Danio rerio: one gene and its partners. The protein of the gene in region 1 interacts with the protein of each later gene in a pairwise test. Links are inferred from orthologs where the notes say so. Each region holds a gene or a part of one and is shown on either strand. Other genes may lie near its edges.

Region 1 (6,626 bases):
CTAAGTAATATTAATTATTGCACGCATGTGCTTACTGTTAAAGGATTAGAATGTGGGTTAGGTTTAGGGTTAGTTGCATCTAATTATACATAATTAATTGTAATTGCTATAGTATGTACATGGAACATGTGAAATAAAGACACCTTAAAGTGTTACAAATATTTGCTATAGTTATAGGATTAACTTAGATTGCCCTAAAAACAACTGGTTTTGCATCACAATTATTATCAGGATAATACTGCAGTTGGAAGATAATAAGGTCATACAGAACTCCGAAAAAAATTAGGTGACAATTTTCATTTTTATTTTATTGGGTATGAGTTTGAGTATGTGTTAACTCTTTAAGTTAGTACTAATTAGTTGTTATTAATGATTAACTATTAAATTGCCAAATTATCCAAAAGCTGAATAAATAAACTTTCCATTGTTGTATAAATTGTTAGGGTAGAAAAATGTTTGACTTTTAGAAAAATCTAAATATTGACAAAAAAGTATTGTATTTAAAATGTAATACAAATATTTCACACTGTATTTTTTGTGCAACAAAAACATAATAATGAAATGCTGTAAATGACACTTTTAAATAAATAAATAATTATTTATTTTAAATTGGGGGCGGGGTTGCTATAACTTGTTTCCAGAACAATTATCAAATAATATATGTATGTATACTTTTATATACACTGTTAATCTTAAAACCAATAAAACTCAAATGTGAAAAACTGATACAGTGCTCAGCATACAGTTGAAGTCAGAATTATCAGACCCCCTGAATTATTAGCTGCCCTGTTCATTTTCCCCCAATTTCTGTTTAAAGGAGAGCAGATTTATTCCACATTTTTATACATAATAGTTTTAATAACTCATTTCTAATAACCGATTTATTTTATCTTTGCCATGATGACAGTACATAATATTTGACTAGATGTTTTTCAAGACACTTCTATACAGCTTAAAGCGACATTTCAATGCTTAACTAGGGTAACTAGGCAAGTTATTGTACAACGATGGCTTGTTTTGTAGACTATTGAAAAAAATTGCTTAAAGGGGCTAATTAGTTTTAATTCTGTAGGTTGTATTTTTTTCAATATTTTGCTTGAATTTAATAGTATTATCTTTCAATTTCTAAATATGTTTGATGGCTGAAATATTATTTTAATAAATATATCTGTTTTGTTTAAATGCACCAAAATACATATTCAATGAGAAATGGATAAAAATATTAATTATCAAATTGGGGTGTACTCAATTGTGCTGAGCAGGATGCATACGTTTACATGAATTTCTGTTTGGTACTTTTATAAATTGAGGTGAAATGTATGCTATAGTTATAGTAAGGACATCCAAATGTTATCCATAAGATCAATTCAAATTCTGGGAATAGGAGCTGTTAACTTTACACAATCTGTTTCCTTTTCGGCATATTAACATCTAAATCTATATGTAATGACAATATTGTTCCATCCTTAAATGAACAAAAGCAAGCAGCCGACTGTTTCCATGGTTACCTCATATGAACCTTTTCCCTGTTCAGGTAAAAAGCGCTTTGTCTAACTTGTCTAAATTTATTGTGCTTGAAGAACAGATTTGAAAGCAAATTAAATTTTAAGATATCCAATATAGGATTTCATCACACCCTTTATATAACTTAAGCTTGATGTTTTGAAGAAGGGGACACGCGTCGTCCAGACCACACAACTTTTACGCCAAATGTATTTATTCGATATTTGTTTACATAACTAGGTCGATTCCATGTGCAGTCAGCTCAAACTAGTTTCATTGTCAGATGGTTCCATTGCTCAATCCATTATCCTACTGTACGTGCCTTTTGCCAACAACTGAACCAACAGACCTAAACTAAAGGACGTGTCCGGCCGAATGGATGCCGGTAACCGATCTCATCAGCCCGTGAGGGAGGGATGAGATATTCCCGTGGGATGATCACGTGTCCGTGGGGAGTAGTTGTGTGTGTGGAGCCCTTGGAATCGGAGGTGTAGCGTCAAGCGCGTCGTCCAGACTTCATTGTTACTGTAAGGAAGCTGTCAACTGTATTTGCGCGTGTTTATTGCTTTGCTGAAAGCGAAAGAAAATGCACGTGAAGAGAGGGGATCTGACGACCGATTTACATAAACTTCTGCGCGCATCTCAGTCGCAACAAACGCACTCAGCGTGATCGGTGAAAAATCAACACTGCTGTTTACTGTTCTTGCTACGCGAAATACAGATCACTGTCACTGCACATCAAGGTAAGTACAGGCATTTCTACAGTTTTAGAAGTTTTAGGACGCAATTAAAACGCAACAGAATGTTTGGTATATGCTATAATGTGTCTTAAAACAGAAAGATAAACAACTCGTGAAACATTTTAGATTATATCGAAGTTAAATAAAGTTCTCTTTCAGTCTTAATTTTTCACACATTGTTTGTAGCGTATTTGTGCGTGTTGTTTTCTATAGCCACACTGTACTAAATGAAAATACAGCAGGTAGCATACATGTGACTTCATCGGTGATGAAAGCTTCTGGATAATGTGCAAGAACACCATGATCCCATTTTTGCCTCTGTCTAGCTTTTTTGGGTTTCTTTCCAGAGATTCTGGTTGTCCATTTTTGCATTAACCCCATGAATTCCAAGGTTTAAGTTGTTAGAGTGGTTCAAGATACTTAAAAACCCTGAAGTTAACCATGCATTATAGGCTAGTAAAACTGTAGGTCATATTAATTAGCTTTTGTATGACCTAGATTTTACTAAAATAGTATGGTTAAAACATTGGTTTATCAAAAGCATGGTGAATTTGAGACCAAAACATAATAAATTTTTCATCAGGGAAAGCTTTTCACATTCACCTTTATGGTTTGTTATTTCATGCCACCATATAACTGTAAATAATTATTATAAAACATATTTTGGCTGCACTACAAACTGAAATGTATTTCATGACATCAGATACTATTTTAAGTTTTGTAAATCACTACGTCACTATTGATTACATTAAAATAAGACAAAAACTAAAGCAATTGTCCACATTGCTGCTGTATTTAAATTGTGTCCTCATTTATTCACCCTCATTCCAGAATTTTTTTCTAGAAGAAGAAGCTCTTTTTCCTGTGGAACTAAGGAAACTGTGGAACTAACTAACTTATATTTATATATATATATATATATATATATATATATATATATATATATATATATATATATATATATATATATATATATATTCATATATATGAAGGCTGCTTTTTATTGTAATATTTATGGATAACTGAAGCTATCACCTTCAAATGACAAAGAAAATATAAAAGTGGCCATTACAACACCAAACAGGAGAAAATTTAAGTTATGATTTACTCAAAAACCAATATAATGAAACCAATTGCTCTTTACAATTGCCCACACTATTCGCAGTATTACTCTTTCTATACAGTACTGTCCTTTGGATGAGTGAATGAAAACAAGTAAACAAATGTGTACACTAAAGATGAGGTGAGATGTGGGATTCATCACAGCATGCAAAATGGCTTGCCATTCATATGTACTTTAGCTGAACACTCATTGTGAGATGCATTGTGGGATTGAATTAGTTCACTACAAAGAACTGTTCTTTCAGACAGTATAGTGGACAAAATCATTCAGTTAAAAACAAAAACCAGTATACAGGTTGATTTATGTGCTTCTAGAACTGGTTGTAAATGCCTGACCAAACAAAATTGTAATATGCAAGACCACTGAAAATTCATGTTGAATATAAACCATACAGTAGCTTGCTAATCAACAATATGCTAAGCTACTTTACTTTTTAGTTTGAAAATGGCTAATTTCTTTTTTGTATTCTACAGTGAATGTAAATAATGACAGAATTTACTACTATTCCTTTATACCCGCATCTTCTGCTGCTAGTATGTTTGTCCACATCTTAAACAGAATTGACATCCTCTGTTCCCACCGCTGAAATATCAGAACTGTGTGGAGGTGTACCTGCCCTTAGCGATGAGGAAGCACATTTGCACGCCTCCGTCTTGAAAATGTTTTTCATTCAGAGCAGTTCACTGGGCTATTTGTTTGTAGCCAGTTGATTTCCATATTACATCTGAATATATAACAAAGGTTACAATGCATTGTTGTGAACTGCAAGGGTTATTTTGATGGCATTTTCTTCATAAAAGTACCCTCATCCCCATAGTAACGCTGAGCTATACTGTACTGTATATCCACAGGAGACCGATATACCTGTGCCACTTGCTGTGCTGTCAGCATTGATATGACATTCATGTGGTTAGATGTATTTCAGGCATAACGGTTTACAGTGCAGCTTTTCACTTGGAAAGAGTCCCAGAAGCTTTATTTAAGTTATGTGCTAGTAATAATAAGACTTGCTTATATGATATGTTTGTTATTGAGGAAGTGACTCTTTTAGAACGAGTGGTATCGTGTTGGCATTTGCCTTAAGATGCTGTTAAAAGGTGCCCAGAACTGTGGTTGAAAGGGGCTACTTTAGTGTTGTTTCAGCCTTTCTTCTGTTTATGCTGAGTAGTCTCAACTTCCTGCCAGTATTGTAGGGCATTCTTAAACTGGCAACAAACATCCAATTTAGACCACCCGAGTCTTATGTGACAAATCTGTGGCCATATGAAGGCTTCGCTGCAGTGGATCGTCTTAAGTAATTATGTGGAAAAAAAATGAAATAAATAAAAATCAAAGAGCCTCCATTCCTTCTCCACCATTGGCGCTTTTGCATCTCCAAAGAGAAGAAAAGTTTCTCGATATTAAAAAGCACAGAAGGTAATTTTCCATGGCTGACCTGCTGTGCCAAATGTATTTCTTGAGGCTATGTACTATTCTTATCTCGGGCAAGTCAGCTTGAGAAAGGTTGCTAAAAAGCTGGAGGATATATCTACTGAAAAAATATTGAGATGTGTTAAGATATGTTCCATGATGCTGGTGGAGATCAGGAAGGGGGTCCATTAATGTTGTTAGCTTCTCGTCAGGGGTCTAATATTCAATTAGAGAGACTCGCACTCTTGCCAGAACTTATGTAAATGAGGCCTCAAGGTTGGTAAAAATGTCTTTTAATAAGCATTTCTGTAGTTTACTTTGTCAATGAGCCGAAATCACTTGACAAAGGCTTGCTGTGATGATGGTTGTAGTAATGTTGTTATTATTTCCGTCGGCGGCTTGTGGCCTTATCTTTCCTTTTTAAAACTTGTTAGCATATCCAGTATGTGATCTCACACTGATTTACTGCTCATATTGTGGTTTTTGGTTATACTTAGTGTGGTGATTTAAACTCTCCTACTGTTTTCACTCTGTATATTGAGCTCTCATTGAATGATGGCTCAATGGGGCTGGCGGCATAGCAGGCCATCTCATAATGCACATAGTTTTCTTTTTTCTTTTTCACAGAGAGACTTCAAATAATACAGCTCTGTTGAAATGGCTATGACTAATTTTGTTTTGAGCCAGAGTCAAGATGAGGTGAAGTTGGGCTTTTTTTTTTCCAGAGCGGTTCATCAAATGCCCAGGGCTGGCAAAGCTTCAAATTGGGTTTTGGAAATAAACCTTTCATACCAAATAAACTCAGGCTGACTTGACTTTCATTCCAGTTTATAGTGGATTCAAATCATGATATCTGTTCTTAAGTGTCATTAAATATAGTTTTCAGAATTTTAATTAAAGCTTCACCCATGCTTTCAGTTTCAGTTTGAAACAGATACATTATAGCCTGAATCCACTGGATAAACTGAAGAAGAAAAATCCCCCAATTCTGTAATCTTTATTTAAAGAAATTACATTTGCAGTCTTGGATAATAGAGAAGATTACCAACAACATTTTCTTCTTATTAATTAAATTAAATATTCATTTAGAATTTCATTACTTGGTGTTGGGTTGTTGCTGGAAGGGATCTGCTGCTTAAAACATATGCCGGATAAATTAGCGGTTCATTCCGCTAGGGTGAACCATTATTATTAAAGGGACTAAACCGAAAGAGAAATGAATGGATGAATATGAATTTTAGCTTTTGAAATTTATAATGAACTCTACACTCTGAAAGTTCTTTATTGGCATTGATGGTTACAGCATAGCCTGAATCCACTGGATAAATTAAAGAAAAAAAAAAAACCCTACTCTATAATGATTATTAAAATAAATTGCATTTAAAGTTTAGGATAACACTGAAAGTTGCAAAGAACATTGGTATTTTTATTATTATTAATTTAAAGATTAGATAAGAATTTTACTTGGACAGCTTTAAAGTTTATGATGGACTCTTACACTCTTAAAACTAAAGGTTCTTTATTGGCATTGATGATAACCTTTATCATTGAAGAGCCTCTATCATCGGTTTTTGAAAATGAGCTTCCATGCAGTATGTAACACAGCTCTAAGTGAATGAAAACATCCAGCTGAAGTTTAAATCTGAAAGTGCACCATGTTTAAAAGTATTGATTCTTTAACAAAATAGTCAACTTAGAGTCGAATAATTTAATTGTGTTGGGTTCGGATCTTCTGCTTTAATGTGTCGACATCGATACGGTGCATCACCATTCACCATCACATGCGTTTTTCTTCAAACATTAGCGGAGCACAGGGGTCTACAGGAATGATCGTGATCCGAATCTGACTG
Region 2 (6,707 bases), on another chromosome or scaffold:
TTGCGATTTTTATAAATTTAGTTTCATCAGATGGAAAGAATTCTTCTAACTTCTAAACTAACTGAAAAATTACTTGTATCCCACATCCCATGTAATCAGTTTTACCCCTAAAAAAATTAAAACATCATAAAATGTTGCATTTAGGTCAGAAAACCAGGTCAAACTCATATTCTGAAGAGGAGCATATTGATATATAAATGAATTATATTGTCATAATTATATTTTTTCTTAAACTGTTCCCTAATGCATGCCTAATAAATACTGTATTTTACTGGAAGTTTAAATTTCACATTTTAACTTCAGCTTAACCAGTTTTGATGAACTTTTAAAACCACAATTAATTACCTGTTCAAGAGCTGCTGACTGAGAATCTTCATTTAAACATTAAAAGGGACCTATAATGGAAAAAGCACTATTATAAGGGGTTTAAACACAGTTGTGTGGCAGCACTGTATAAATATAACCAGCCTCTAATGGTGAAAATTTATTAATTAAATTTTTGTATAATCACACCTTAATAAACAGTCTGCAGAAACACTTTGATTGACATTCTGCCTTTGTACGTGCCATTGGATTGGAAAAGCCCCGCCCATTAGAGAAATTTCTCCCTCATTAGCATAAACAGCTTTGAGTGAGAAGCAGCCGTCCGCCATTCTCATTTGAATTTAAAGCGACAGTCACCAAAACGACACAATTTGGATCACAGCCTTAAACTTGCTGTTTCAAAGCATTATAAAAAATTATTTTTGTGGTATTTTCAGCTGATACTTCACAAACACACACACACACACACACACACACACACACACACACACACACACACACACACACAAACACTATAGGGACTTATTTTACATCTTGTTTAAATGAGTGTAAGAGGCCCCCTTTGAAGAAGAGAATATTCAACTTGTATCATCATTTTGGTATTGTCTTATATACAGTTGAAGTCAGAATTATTAGCCCTTGTTGATGTTTTTTTTCTTTTTTAAATATTTCCAAAATGATGTTTAACAAAGCAAAGACATTTTCACAGTATGTCTGATAATATTTTGTCTTTTTGAGAGTCTTATTTTCGGCTAGAATAAAAGCAGTTATTAATTTTTTAACTACCAATTTAAGGACAAAATTATTAGCCCCTTTAAGCTATTTTTTCCGATAGTCTACAGAACAAACCATCGTTATACAATAACTTTCCTAATTACTCTAACCTGCGTAGTTAACCTACTGTAATTAACCTAGTTAAGCCTTTAAATGTCACTAAGCTGTTTAGAAGTGTCTTTAAAAATATCTAGTCAAATATTATTTACTGTCTTCATGACAAGGATAAAATAAATCAGTTATTAAAAATGAGTTCTTAAACCTATTATGTTTAAAAAATAAAATAAACAAATAAAAAATAATAATAATCAATAATAATAATAATAAAACAGGGAGGTTAATAATTCAGGGGGGCTAATAATTCTGATTTCAACTGTATATAAAAAAAATTGTTGTTTGTTTGTAGTTTTCTGTTTGTAGATTTGCCCAGCCCTGCCACTTTAGTTTGAGCACTTACTTCTATACTGGTTAATTTGGTTCGAACAGGCACTCTTGTTGTTTTCCCTTGGTCTGAAGCATGTGAACGGCCCCTAAAAAGGGTAATGAACCAGAAGATGGCCTTTTGTTTGTCTTGCGCACACACTTCAAACATGATTCAATTTTTCCCCCCTGAAGTACCAGCACAAGACAGCGCCGATCTTCTATGTCCCCGAATCCTAATTGATCACTCTAGATTGGCACTGTCAGGTCTCACTGCGCCACATTCCCATAGTTGTCTGTTTCCATATTATGTTCTATCCATTGTCACACAGCAGGAGCATGATGGATGGCTTTGTAGGACGCAGTTCAACAGGGTCATCTTACCACGGAGGCGACCAATCACAGACCAGCTTCTTTATCCTCAGCAGTGCATTTAAAACATGTTTTGAGTTGATTTTCCTTATTTTGCATAGATGCAAACACTGTTGTTACATCATCGGCTAAGAGACGCTTAGCTGTCCGACTGCAGTGACAGATGGACACAATGAGAAAAGGGAGGGCGAAAGAGTGAAAAGCATTTTCTCTCTCGGAGTTATAGGACTACACCAGCATCGCAGGAGTTGGATGGGTTATGAATGGTTGGAGTTTGCCCAGTCATTTGGACCTAAAAACGGGGATAAAGACTATCAAAACAAGGCATTATGAAAGGAGTGGTCTGACCTGTGAGTTTTGTCCTGCAATCCAGTGACTGTAAAAATACAATAAAACCATTACTGACGCAAGTGGAGGTGATGATTTGTCAAAGTGCCAATGGAGATTACGACTGAGAGTTTCATGGTTACTCTTTCGATCGAATTTCACTGGAATACACCTGTAATCTTCTGGAAGATCTCCAAAGAAGAGGCGTGCAGATGGGGAAGATAAGCACCTAAATATTATGTATCCTGATTAAAGAAGCATTTATCATGCTGTTGGCTTACATTGTTTATCAGGCGATATCTTTATAGACGTGTCCAGGTAGGTTAAAATGGCTTTGTGGGGTTTAAAAGCAGATGTGCGGTAGTCGTCCCTCCCTCATTCTCTCTTGAACGAGATTGGGAGATGAGAAAGCCATCTCATTTGCTGATCAGATCACAGACAGATTATCAAGCCTAAGTGAGAGTTCTGGAGCTCGAAGGTGTTGGAATAACACGGTCTTACCTTCCAGGAGTTGTTGTTTGAGTGAAAACAGTGGTGGGAAGACATGCAAGAACTCAACAATACTTGATTCTAAACTGGCTGATCACCTTCACGTCGACCGATAAAGCTCATTGCTGCGCAATTCGGAAGAGTTTATATTACGACTGTAACTTTAACCAGAAGATAGTGTTCAGTGCTTGCGCTCACCCTGAAATGGGATCATCCAGAATCGCTTTTAAAGGATACTCCGTCTAAATGTGTGTGTGGAGACGTCTCCAGTAGTCAAGCCAGCATGTATGTTCTGTGCACCTTGGTGCTGCTGTCTCTTCACAACCTGTTTAGGAGACCCCGAGTCCTGGATCCCGTTGAACCCAAAGCTATCGAAAGCCCAGAGAAGCACAAACCAGATGTAGGCAAACACGGACGCAAGAAGAGAAACAAACACCACATTCCTGGAAGTTCTGGACCACTAGAGACTTCAAGAGTGCATGGGCAGAGTGACGTTGATAGATGCCTTGACGGATTCAGCAGCAGAGCGAGTAAAAGAAGATCTGTTCATCAGGATAATGTGCTGGAGAGGAGGAAGATAGCACAGGTGAGCGTGAACATGGAGGTTAAAGTAAAGAAAGTTGTTAGTTGAAGGCTGTTTGCATTGCAGCCATCCAGTTTAATGTTCACTGTTAACGATTTTTGTAAATTACACAGTATTTAGCTGTAATGTGAACTGTATTTTACTGTAGGACACTCATGCAGTATGTTACTGTATTTTAATGCTGCATTGTGAAAATTAGTGTATATTCTACAGTAAAGATTTACATTAGGGTTGGGCGATGTTGACCGATTTGGCATCGTACGATGTCTAATGTGAAACATCGTGATGGACGATGGCATCAGTGAATCATTTATTTATTCATAACAAATTAATAATTTGTAGCCACCCGTTGCGACTACCTGACCTGCATAGTCTTTGTTTTATACATAACCAAATCATAAATGAATAAAGATAAATTACACATAAATGACCAACCGGTCAATATTTTTTTTTGCGGGATTCTGGCATGAATAGGCAGAGTGATCTGTGTCATTATAATGGCGTCGAAAAACTTGGTTGGTAAAAAAAAAGGTGCACAACCAACAGGAACCATCCAACAGTATCTGAGGTTTAAGCTAGAATTACAATTTACTAAAAGTACAAGCGTGAAAGCGAAAGACTGAAGCAGTGTACTGACGCTGTGTTACCTGATAGATTCAAAAGACAGAGGAGTCGTTAGATAGAGACAAGATTAATTAAATATCAAGTTTAACATCTATAAGATGCAATCCAGCGGTACATCTTTAATAAATTGTCCAAAGTGCACTGCTCTCTGGGATTTTGTGCTCAAAGCACCCACTGACTGCCTAGAGCTCAGACGTGCGCAAATGCTGCAGCACATGCCATGTGTGTTCAGCAGTATGTTTTCAGAAGTGCTAGATAAAACGCCAGTGGATGTGGATCGTTTTCGTTCTAAAATGCCATTTTAATACTAAGATGTATTGGTCTAAATGGGGCCTGAGTGTGTAATTCTAGCGACGGGGGCGGGGCAGAGGATGTTTCTCGGCCTTTGTCGATCGACGATGGCATTGCCTATTGACCCAAAACTATTATACATACATATCTGTAAATACAAGATAAATGGTGCTGTAAATGTAAATACAGTCTATTTGCTGTACTTGATTTACAGTAAGTTACTGGTAAATTGCTGCCAGTATGTTACTGTAGATTCTGCAGGGAATTAAGTGTTGTTTTTGACCGATCAGTCCTCAAGCTGGAAGAGTGTAACTGATGAGTCTCTCTGCTACTGGAAAACCTCCATTTAATCCAAAATGCAATTATTTATTCATTGATTTCTTCTCATTATTTATGTGCGTTGTATTATTGATTTGAAGAAACCTTAGACGGCTTTAAGTTGAACATATTCCTTTTCTGAGTGTGTGAATTTCATCAAGTCTACTGGAGCTATTTTAATCAATCAAGTGCGTTTTTCTCGACTTTTCATCCTTATCCAGAATTTCTGTGATCAGCTGCTTCTGGTGGGAGTAATTCACTATGGGAACATTTTGTAAATGTTCTTTCTGCATAATACACACAGGGATTTTCATTTACCTGGAATCATGTTTATCCTCCCAATGTCCCATTTCTAATGTTCTCTGCAGTCTGATGGATCGTTTTAGCAGATCAAATCCTGAGTGGTTACGCAAGCAGTGGGTTAATCAGAGAGCTCTCTGTCCCCTTTAATCATAATTTAATTCGCATACGCTCTGTTTACTGCTATCCCTTTTCCTCAATCTTTATGCTTTGACTTGACGAATTAGCAAAAATCTGGATTTGCTAGAATTTTAACATAGTGCTTGTGATTTATTACACCACTTCTTTGTGTGCACATTAGTTTTGTACGCTCTTAGTTGGGGCTATATGTAGAATTCAGAAACACTCAACCTCTTTGGCCCAGGGCTACATTTTCGAGAACTGAGATATATGTACTAGGGTTGGGCGATGTTGACCATTTTGGCATCGTATGATGTCTAATGTAAAACATTGCAATGGACGATTTCATCGTTGTCATAGGTGGTGGTGAATTAATTATTTATGAATAATTAATTAATTCATAACAAATTAATTATTTGTAGCCACCTGTTTCAACTACCTGACCAGCATGGGCTTTGTTTTATACATAACCAAATCATAAATAAATAAAAATAAGTTACAATGTCAATGTCAATCACTTTTTCCGCGGGACTCTGTATTAGTGTTATTGTAAACAGGCCCTAAGTGTGTATTTTTTTGTGAGCGGCTTGCTGCTGCGAAGTGGCAGGGCGGAGGATCGTGACGCTTGCTCAGCATCGTGATGTCTATCAGCGATCATCGACTGAACTGTAATATGAACCCTGGGCTACTTGTGCTAGCATTTTTTTTTCCTTTACAAATCCGCTAGGTGTCGACATATACATTTTTGACAATCTTAATTGCATTACTGGGACACGATTCTCATGCCTCATATGCGGCATTTTTTGTAAATCCATGGTGTACATTTTTAGCAACCTCCACTTCCTTCTAGCCCACATCCATGAGAGAATCTAGCTTTCCCCTTAGCGTTCGTTTTAAACACAAAAAGTATTCATATTAACCCATTTCTCAGTTCTCAAAAATCTAGCCCTGGGCACATTTTCCCAATGAGCATGTTGAGGTGACACCGGTGGTCATTAAGTGAACTGCAGTAAAATGTTAATAATAAATTTGCAGTAATGCATTAATAATGACCATCCTGACAAATGCTTTTCTTTTGCACAACACAGTGACATACATTAAAAATTTAAAGTTCGTTAAAGTTCGTTGTGTCATTACACAGAAAACAGGCTCTTGGGAGCCTTAGGAACATAATTATATTTAGTGTGGATAGTATAGAGAATAGACATTTGACATTTTTATTATGCATATTGTTTGTTTGTGAAAAGTTTAGTCCGTTTTTTTCATCGTACGAAAAACAAATTACAAGCTCTTGAAAGATTTGGGGAAAATCCTTTTTCTGTTGCTTAGGCATTGTCATAAAACCAAACCTAAAAATCTTTTGTGAAAAGTAAACTTCCTATGGATGTTTCAATATTAATGAATGGCAAGTCTTAAGAGCGACTTTTAATCAGTTACAGGTTTCTTTTTTCATGTTACAATTCATATTAAAATCAATAATTTTGCAATGGCTAAATATATAGTATATTGGTGTATTAATGATTACAAAGAAAAGAACTAACGCTCAATGTGAATTTTAATATGCTTTTTATAAATGCTTAGCTAAATAAAAAAACACAGACCAAAATGAAGGCCATGCTATTTTAATAATGCTCTTTTATTTTTTTTATTCGTTGTACAGATCTTTTATCTAAGGGTTATTATGCTGCTGTTTCGATAGAGTCGACACAGTTTTGTACAGGTAATATCTTGATGGTCATTGTATTTGCCTTGTGCTTTTCAGCAA
Region 3 (6,485 bases), on another chromosome or scaffold:
CTGGATTAAAAGAGTTCACGTAGAAGTCACCTTGTTATGTTGACAAAAAATATATGTTTAAATTGTTTTAGCATTTTGAATGTTTCAGCTATTTACTGACGGAAATTATACTTGCTTGGAATCATATATAGCGCTTTTTGTTTACTGTAAATTGATCACTTCTGTTTATATTTTTGAACATATTCAATTCTTTCCTTTTATTTCAGGTGTTGCCGGTGGTCTGACTAACCTGTCCAAGATGCCCGCATGTAATCTGATGTTGCTGGGAGCGCAGAGGAGAACACTGTCTGGATTCAGCAGCACATCTCTGCTGCCCCACACAGGCTACATCTACCACTGTGATGTAGTGCAGACTCTGCCTCCAGTGAGCATCAACCTTTGGTTTCATTAAAAGTAGTTCACTGACAATTAGTTCCACCTGATATGACATTGTTGAGCAAAATAAGACATAAGGTTACATTTGCATGACGATAATGCAGCTTTTGATTTTGAAGTTTCATGTATATGCAGCAAAAATGTCTGATGATTATAATAATAATAATGATGTTGTTGTCGTGTAAATGAACAGCTAAAATTAATTTAAAAATTGATATTAGTTACTTACTATTAGGTACATTTCATAAAATCATTGAGAAATAATAGAAATTGGCCATCAGTAGCCATGAAAAGACAAAGATTTAGTGCTTTAACAATTAATTGCATACAAAATAAAAGTTTGTAAAATATGTGCAAATACATATTATGTAGAGTTTGAAGTCAAAATTAATAATCATCCTGTGAAATTTGCACATTTTATTTATAATATTTCTCAAATGATGTTAAGCAGAACAAGAACATTTTTACAGTATTTCCTATAATCTTTTCTTCTGGAGAAAATCTTATTTATAATTTGTATATAAATATTTTATAAACAAATAAACTTTTTCTATTGCATATAAATAAGAACATTTGTAAATCTTAGTAACAATGTGGAGTTAATCTGTGTTTGCAGGATCTAAGGAGGAAAGCAGCTCGTCTGGTTTCTGCTAAATGCACTCTGGCTTCTCGCGTGGACAGTTTTCATGAGAGCGCAGATGGCAAGGTGACAGTAGATCATGATCTGCATCTCTGTGCTGTTCATTCACTTTAGAGTATATCAACTAGTTAGACTGTAAGCATTTGTATGTGGGTTGCTCTGCAGGTTGGCTATGATTTGAAGGAAGAGATTGAGAGGAAGTTTGATAAATGGCAGGAGCCTCCACCAGTCAAGCAGGTCAAGCCTCTTCCAGCTCCTCTGGATGGACAGAGGAAGAAGAGAGGAGGAAGAAGGTGAGGGTGGGAATGTTGTGGTCTTGTGAATGGCATATAAAATTAAGGTCTTGGTGCATCTGTGCTGGATGTGAGTTTTTGACTATTCTATAGCTATATATAGATATAATCTAATATTCTATAGATATAATAATACCATAATATGTTTACAGATATTTAAAAAAAAAACTTGCTAAGTGGACATTCGTGTGTATCTGAAAAGCAATGCTAAAGTCAGTTATTCTGCTTTGAAAATGTGAGTTACGTGCCAGAACGCTGTCTTTGTTTTGGTCATTTAACCCAGTTAAGCCAATTATATTTCAGCTGTCTAGGTTGCCTTCATGGAAAATAGCTTATTTGATTCTTTTAGTCATGAAGGCTCTCAAAGCACGCAGTAGCAGCCCCAAAATGAGACGCAGATTCAGAGTTCCACATGAGGTGGTTATTAATTAGCAAATCATATAAATATTACGAGCGTAAACATTAGGTGAGCAGATTACATTGTAACCCCGTGCCCTACCTATTAAACCTCTTTTACATTATTATATGCTAAATAATTAATATTTGTTGGCTTTAGTCACAGTTCTAAAGTTAATTTTCAAATGGTTAACTTAAAGATGATCTGCTGCTGCTTTTAGTAGTATGACAATACATGGCATGTAAAATGGCATTCAAACTCACATTGTTAGCATCTAACACTGAATAAAGCACATGAGCTATACCTGAGGTGATCCATTTCTCACAGGTGAACAACAAGATTAACTGTTTCTAAAATAGAAATTTACAGTTTTGTTAGGACAAAAACTCCTTTTTTGTATAACAAATATTTCTTCTATCACGTGCCATTGCTTTTAGTTGACAAGCTGTTCAAATCAGCCTTTAGGCTTGATAGTCAGGCACACTCGCATAAATCTGGCAACCTGCGCTTGCATGGACTTGTCAGAGGAGGAGCCCAGTGAAAATGTGTTTTGATCCTGTATTGCAATACCTAGTTCAACCAATGGGTGTCAAACTTGCATACTGCACTTTTAAATGACTAAGTTTTAGAGAAAAAATAATGATGATGACAAGTGCATTAATGAGAAAAAGTAACAAAAATATATACTCTTGGAATAAGCAGAAAAAATAGGTTTTCAAACATGAGAGATCAACTTTGTTATGTTGAGATCACAAGAAAATTAAGTTGTGATCATAAGAAAACAAGTAAACTATATTGACGCATGGCCTTTAAGGACTTCAGTCGATATTGTACGCATCAATACTAAACATGATTTTTGACCATTGTTTTTCCTAATAAATCATGTTTTTTTTATTTATTGTTGTACTCCTCAATATACAACAAAAACAAGATATCTACAATTACAAAATATTGAGTTATCTGTCTTTAAAAAGAAACCTTTCATATATTAAAGAATTATTTTGATTGACTTGCATTTTTCCTGGTTCTCTCAGGTATCGTAAGATGAAAGAAAGACTGGGACTGACTGAGATCAGGAAACACGCCAACAGAATGACTTTTGCAGAGGTCAGATGAACTGCATCAGCAGCTCTCCATTAGTGTGCTTGCTTTTGAAATTCTATAGATTGATTCAGCTACTGCGGGTTATTAACGTTCTCTTTCTCTGTGTAGATTGAGGACGATGCCTATCAGGAGGATCTGGGCTTCAGTCTCGGTCAGCTGGGAAAATCTGGCAGTGGCAGAGTCAGACAAGCTCAGGTCAACGACTCCACCAAAGCCAGAATATCCAAATCTTTACAGGTACATCTGCAGCAAATACTAAGGGAAAATGAAGCTTTGAAAGCAAATTTTCTTTGCTTGGGGCATTTTCACAGATGGCTAATTTGCTTATATTTTCGCTTATATTTTCGAATCTGGTGCGTTTTTTTTAGAGATGTACCAAAATGAAAATTCTGGGCTAAAAATGAAAGCAGACATACGAAATGCTCTGGAAAACCGGAAATGCTTTGTAATAATTATTTATTATTTTATTAAATTATATAAAGTCATCTTTCAAGACTTTTTAAGTTTGACATAATTGAATTTATACGGATTTAAAAACAAAAACAAAACACAAGCCAGTAAAATAACCACATGTCCTTAATTTGAGCTGTATTGTGTTATTGAAAAGTTCCCGATAAGTGATCAATTTATTAAAGAGATATTATAAATAAAAATTATATTAAATGACTAATTAATACTGATTTTATTTATAAGCCTCTTGTGCTCGTCAGGCTGCTTTTATAAAAAAAATTAATTGAAAAAAAATGTGAAATAAATTTACCATTTATAATAAAGTCAACTATAATAATGTATTGAAAGCTATTTTGTTCTCATACATTTTAAAATAAAATATATGTCTATGATGGCAAAGCTGAAAATTCAACAGACATTACCCAACTACATTCAACATTACCCAACTACATTCAGTGTCACATGATCTTTCAGAAATCATTCAATATAATTTGCTGATTTAGAGCTAAAAAAAAACATGTATTAATAATATCAATGTTGAAAGCCATGAGACTCATTAATTGTTTGCTGAAGTCTATTTAACCGAATGTATTGTAATTCCATTACAACATTGATGCTGTAAAAGGAACATTATGAAATTGATAAGTCACATTAAGCTTTCACCAGAAGTTCATCATTGGCTGAAAAACACTAGCTCTGCATAGAGCCCATTCAATCATTATTTTAATGATTTCTTTTTTAAACAAGCCTCTCAAGGACATTAATCTGGGATAAATCCTCCTGAATCACTTGTCACCTCTGAGTCAATTTGCTGCCTTGCTCTTTTTTAACAGAATTGAATGTGTCAGCTTGATTGTTGTCATTATTTTTATCCATTATTTCTACACACGTGGTCTTACATCAGTTGTGTTGTTGCAGAGGACACTGCAGAAGCAGAGCATGACGTACGGAGGCAAGTCTACAGTGAGAGACCGATCGTCTGGAACCAGCTCCAGCGTGGCCTTCACTCCTCTACAGGTACACTGTCTCGCAGTCCAGCTGCTTTTGACTCTTTTCGTGCACGTTCTGGTTCATTGTGGCGTGCTGAATCTCAGACTGCCAGCGTTGGTTTGGTTGATTTGTTAGTAAAGCATCTGTTCTCTGTCAGGGGCTGGAGATTGTGAACCCACAGGCTGCAGAGAAGAAGGTGGCTGAAGCCAATCAGAAATATTTCTCCAACATGGCTGAGTTCCTCAAGGTCAAGCGTGAGAAGGAGGACAAGGTGTGAGGCGTCGGCGGCGGCGCATCAGACATGCAGTGACAGCCATGGATAAATTAGCAGATGAAGTGTGAATCTGTCACACACCCACTCAGATGGACTTGTGTGGGGACGGTGACATCATGAGGATTGCTGTCATGCACATTTTGTACATTTGGTTTTCTTTTTGTATTTCATCAAACAAAGGTGTTTAGTGCTGTCTATATAGAACAGAACATTGTAAATGCAAGTTTTCATTTTAAGGAATTTTTTATTTTTATTTTGACAATTACAAACAACACTGAGTGAATAAAGTTGCTCATCTAGTTGGACCAGAGTTTTTTCTTTTTTTCTTTTTAGTGCTTGTTAACTTTTTTATTTGTCCTGTAAGAAACTAATATTACATTCAAAATAATCTAAAGTGGTTGTCTCAAACTTAATTCCTGGAGGGCCGCAGCTCTGCTCAGTTATGCTCCGACCCTGATTAAACACCGCTTCTCCATCTAATGAAGGTGTTCATAACCCTTTTGAACACCTGGATTATTAGGATCAGGTTTGTCTGCAACACATCACATCTGAAGCAGTCCTGAAATGAGAAACAAATGTTGTGCGGTGCATGATTTAATAAATAATGGCAATGATTTTAAAAATAAGAGCAAATTTAAATGCCATGGTGACTTTAATACCAATTAAACAGTAATTAATAGTAATCAAAATACTGCAGCCTTATGAAGACAAATCACACACAGCGCAGTTGTAGACTGCATTGGGCGATCTGAGCTACTTTCCTTAGAGAAGACCCCCATCATTTCTTTGTGCAAATTCTATTGTTTTACACGCACACACATTTTAGAAAAAATATGCAATATTAGTTTTGATAAAAACATGCAATGGTTTTCCATATTAGTTTTTCTCATTCGCTTTGGTACATTTATCAGAACACTAGTGCATTGGGTCCGTGTACGTTGCGTTCATTCGATTTTTGATCTTAAACGAAATTTAAAAAACGAGGAAACGGCCGTTTTTCGTTTTTTTATTTGGCTAAAAAAAATTTAAATAAATGATTTTGGCTCGATTTTCTTTTTTTGGTTTAGGGTAGGAAAACGGATAAATGACTTTAAAATTCATTATCCACATGTAGGCGGTTCTAAAACGCCCATTTCCTCTGATTGGTCAATCAAATCTGGGCTCCTAACGTCGCCTTCAAAATAACAGTCCTGTAGTCTTCGTCCTCTGCGGATCAGCACACAGGCATTTAATATATTATATTCAATATATAATATATTAGCAGTATTATTAGACATTTATCATTACAATTTATCATTACTGTTATAGTTCGCCGCCAAATTTGCTGCTATGCACCTGATACTGAGCAAAAGATTTGCGAGCAGCACTTGGTTTGCACGATTGTTTCCAAGCTAGGCCTATAGTAATAATAATAATAATAATAATAATAATAATAATAATAATAATAATAATAATAATAAGCCTTCCTTTCGAGACTTTCGCTGGATTAATGTCGAGTACAAAATATCTGTTTTAACAGTTTTCAGTATTTTGTGATTTTTACTTTTTTATTATTTATTATTTATGTATTTATTTGCATTGTCTGGGCTGGTGTTGTATATTATGCTACAAAAACTTTGTAATAAACTGTGTTTACATTAATTTATCTATAGCCTATATTATTTCTTAAACATTATATTACTTCAAAAGTCCACAGAGCAGATATTAGGTCCCATAAATGAACGATGCAAGAGTCGGATCCAACAGCCAAAGAGAACTATTATCTTTATTTTTTTCGTTTAAAATAACTGTTTAATATACATAATACACCAAATTTACGTATCATTTGAACCACATACTAGAACATAGGCCTATGCCTGATACATTCATTGCATATGCATAAATTATATAAAAACAGCAGTATAATTATTTGACATTAAATTAACGTCACTGCCAAACTTCTTGCTGCTATGCTCCTGATGC

What was found.
Region 2: the proteins of mid2 (region 1) and kifc3 interact in binary tests that used the Homo sapiens proteins (3 or more experiments, as listed by UniProt). The two-hybrid records come from large-scale screens. The link is inferred for Danio rerio from reciprocal best matches to the Homo sapiens genes MID2 and KIFC3.
Region 3: the proteins of mid2 (region 1) and prpf31 interact in binary tests that used the Homo sapiens proteins (3 or more experiments, as listed by UniProt). The two-hybrid records come from large-scale screens. The link is inferred for Danio rerio from reciprocal best matches to the Homo sapiens genes MID2 and PRPF31.

Annotation. Positions count from the first base shown.
Region 1 is NC_133189.1:32,434,147-32,440,772, forward strand, and holds the start of mid2 (probable E3 ubiquitin-protein ligase MID2), read left to right. Parts: upstream 1-1,960; 5' UTR 1,961-2,246; intron 2,247-6,626. UniProt on the Homo sapiens protein: E3 ubiquitin ligase that plays a role in microtubule stabilization. Mediates the 'Lys-48'-linked polyubiquitination of LRRK2 to drive its localization to microtubules and its proteasomal degradation in neurons.
Region 2 is NC_133193.1:48,507,040-48,513,746, forward strand, and holds the start of kifc3 (kinesin-like protein KIFC3), read left to right. Parts: upstream 1-2,114; 5' UTR 2,115-2,989; coding exon 2,990-3,292; intron 3,293-6,707. UniProt on the Homo sapiens protein: Minus-end microtubule-dependent motor protein. Involved in apically targeted transport. Required for zonula adherens maintenance.
Region 3 is NC_133191.1:35,279,689-35,286,173, forward strand, and holds the end of prpf31 (U4/U6 small nuclear ribonucleoprotein Prp31), read left to right. Parts: intron 1-206; coding exon 207-364; intron 365-991; coding exon 992-1,081; intron 1,082-1,180; coding exon 1,181-1,308; intron 1,309-2,739; coding exon 2,740-2,812; intron 2,813-2,917; coding exon 2,918-3,046; intron 3,047-4,177; coding exon 4,178-4,276; intron 4,277-4,406; coding exon 4,407-4,526; 3' UTR 4,527-4,580; exon of another isoform or gene 4,581-4,612; 3' UTR 4,613-4,828; downstream 4,829-6,485. UniProt on the Homo sapiens protein: Involved in pre-mRNA splicing as component of the spliceosome. Required for the assembly of the U4/U5/U6 tri-snRNP complex, one of the building blocks of the spliceosome.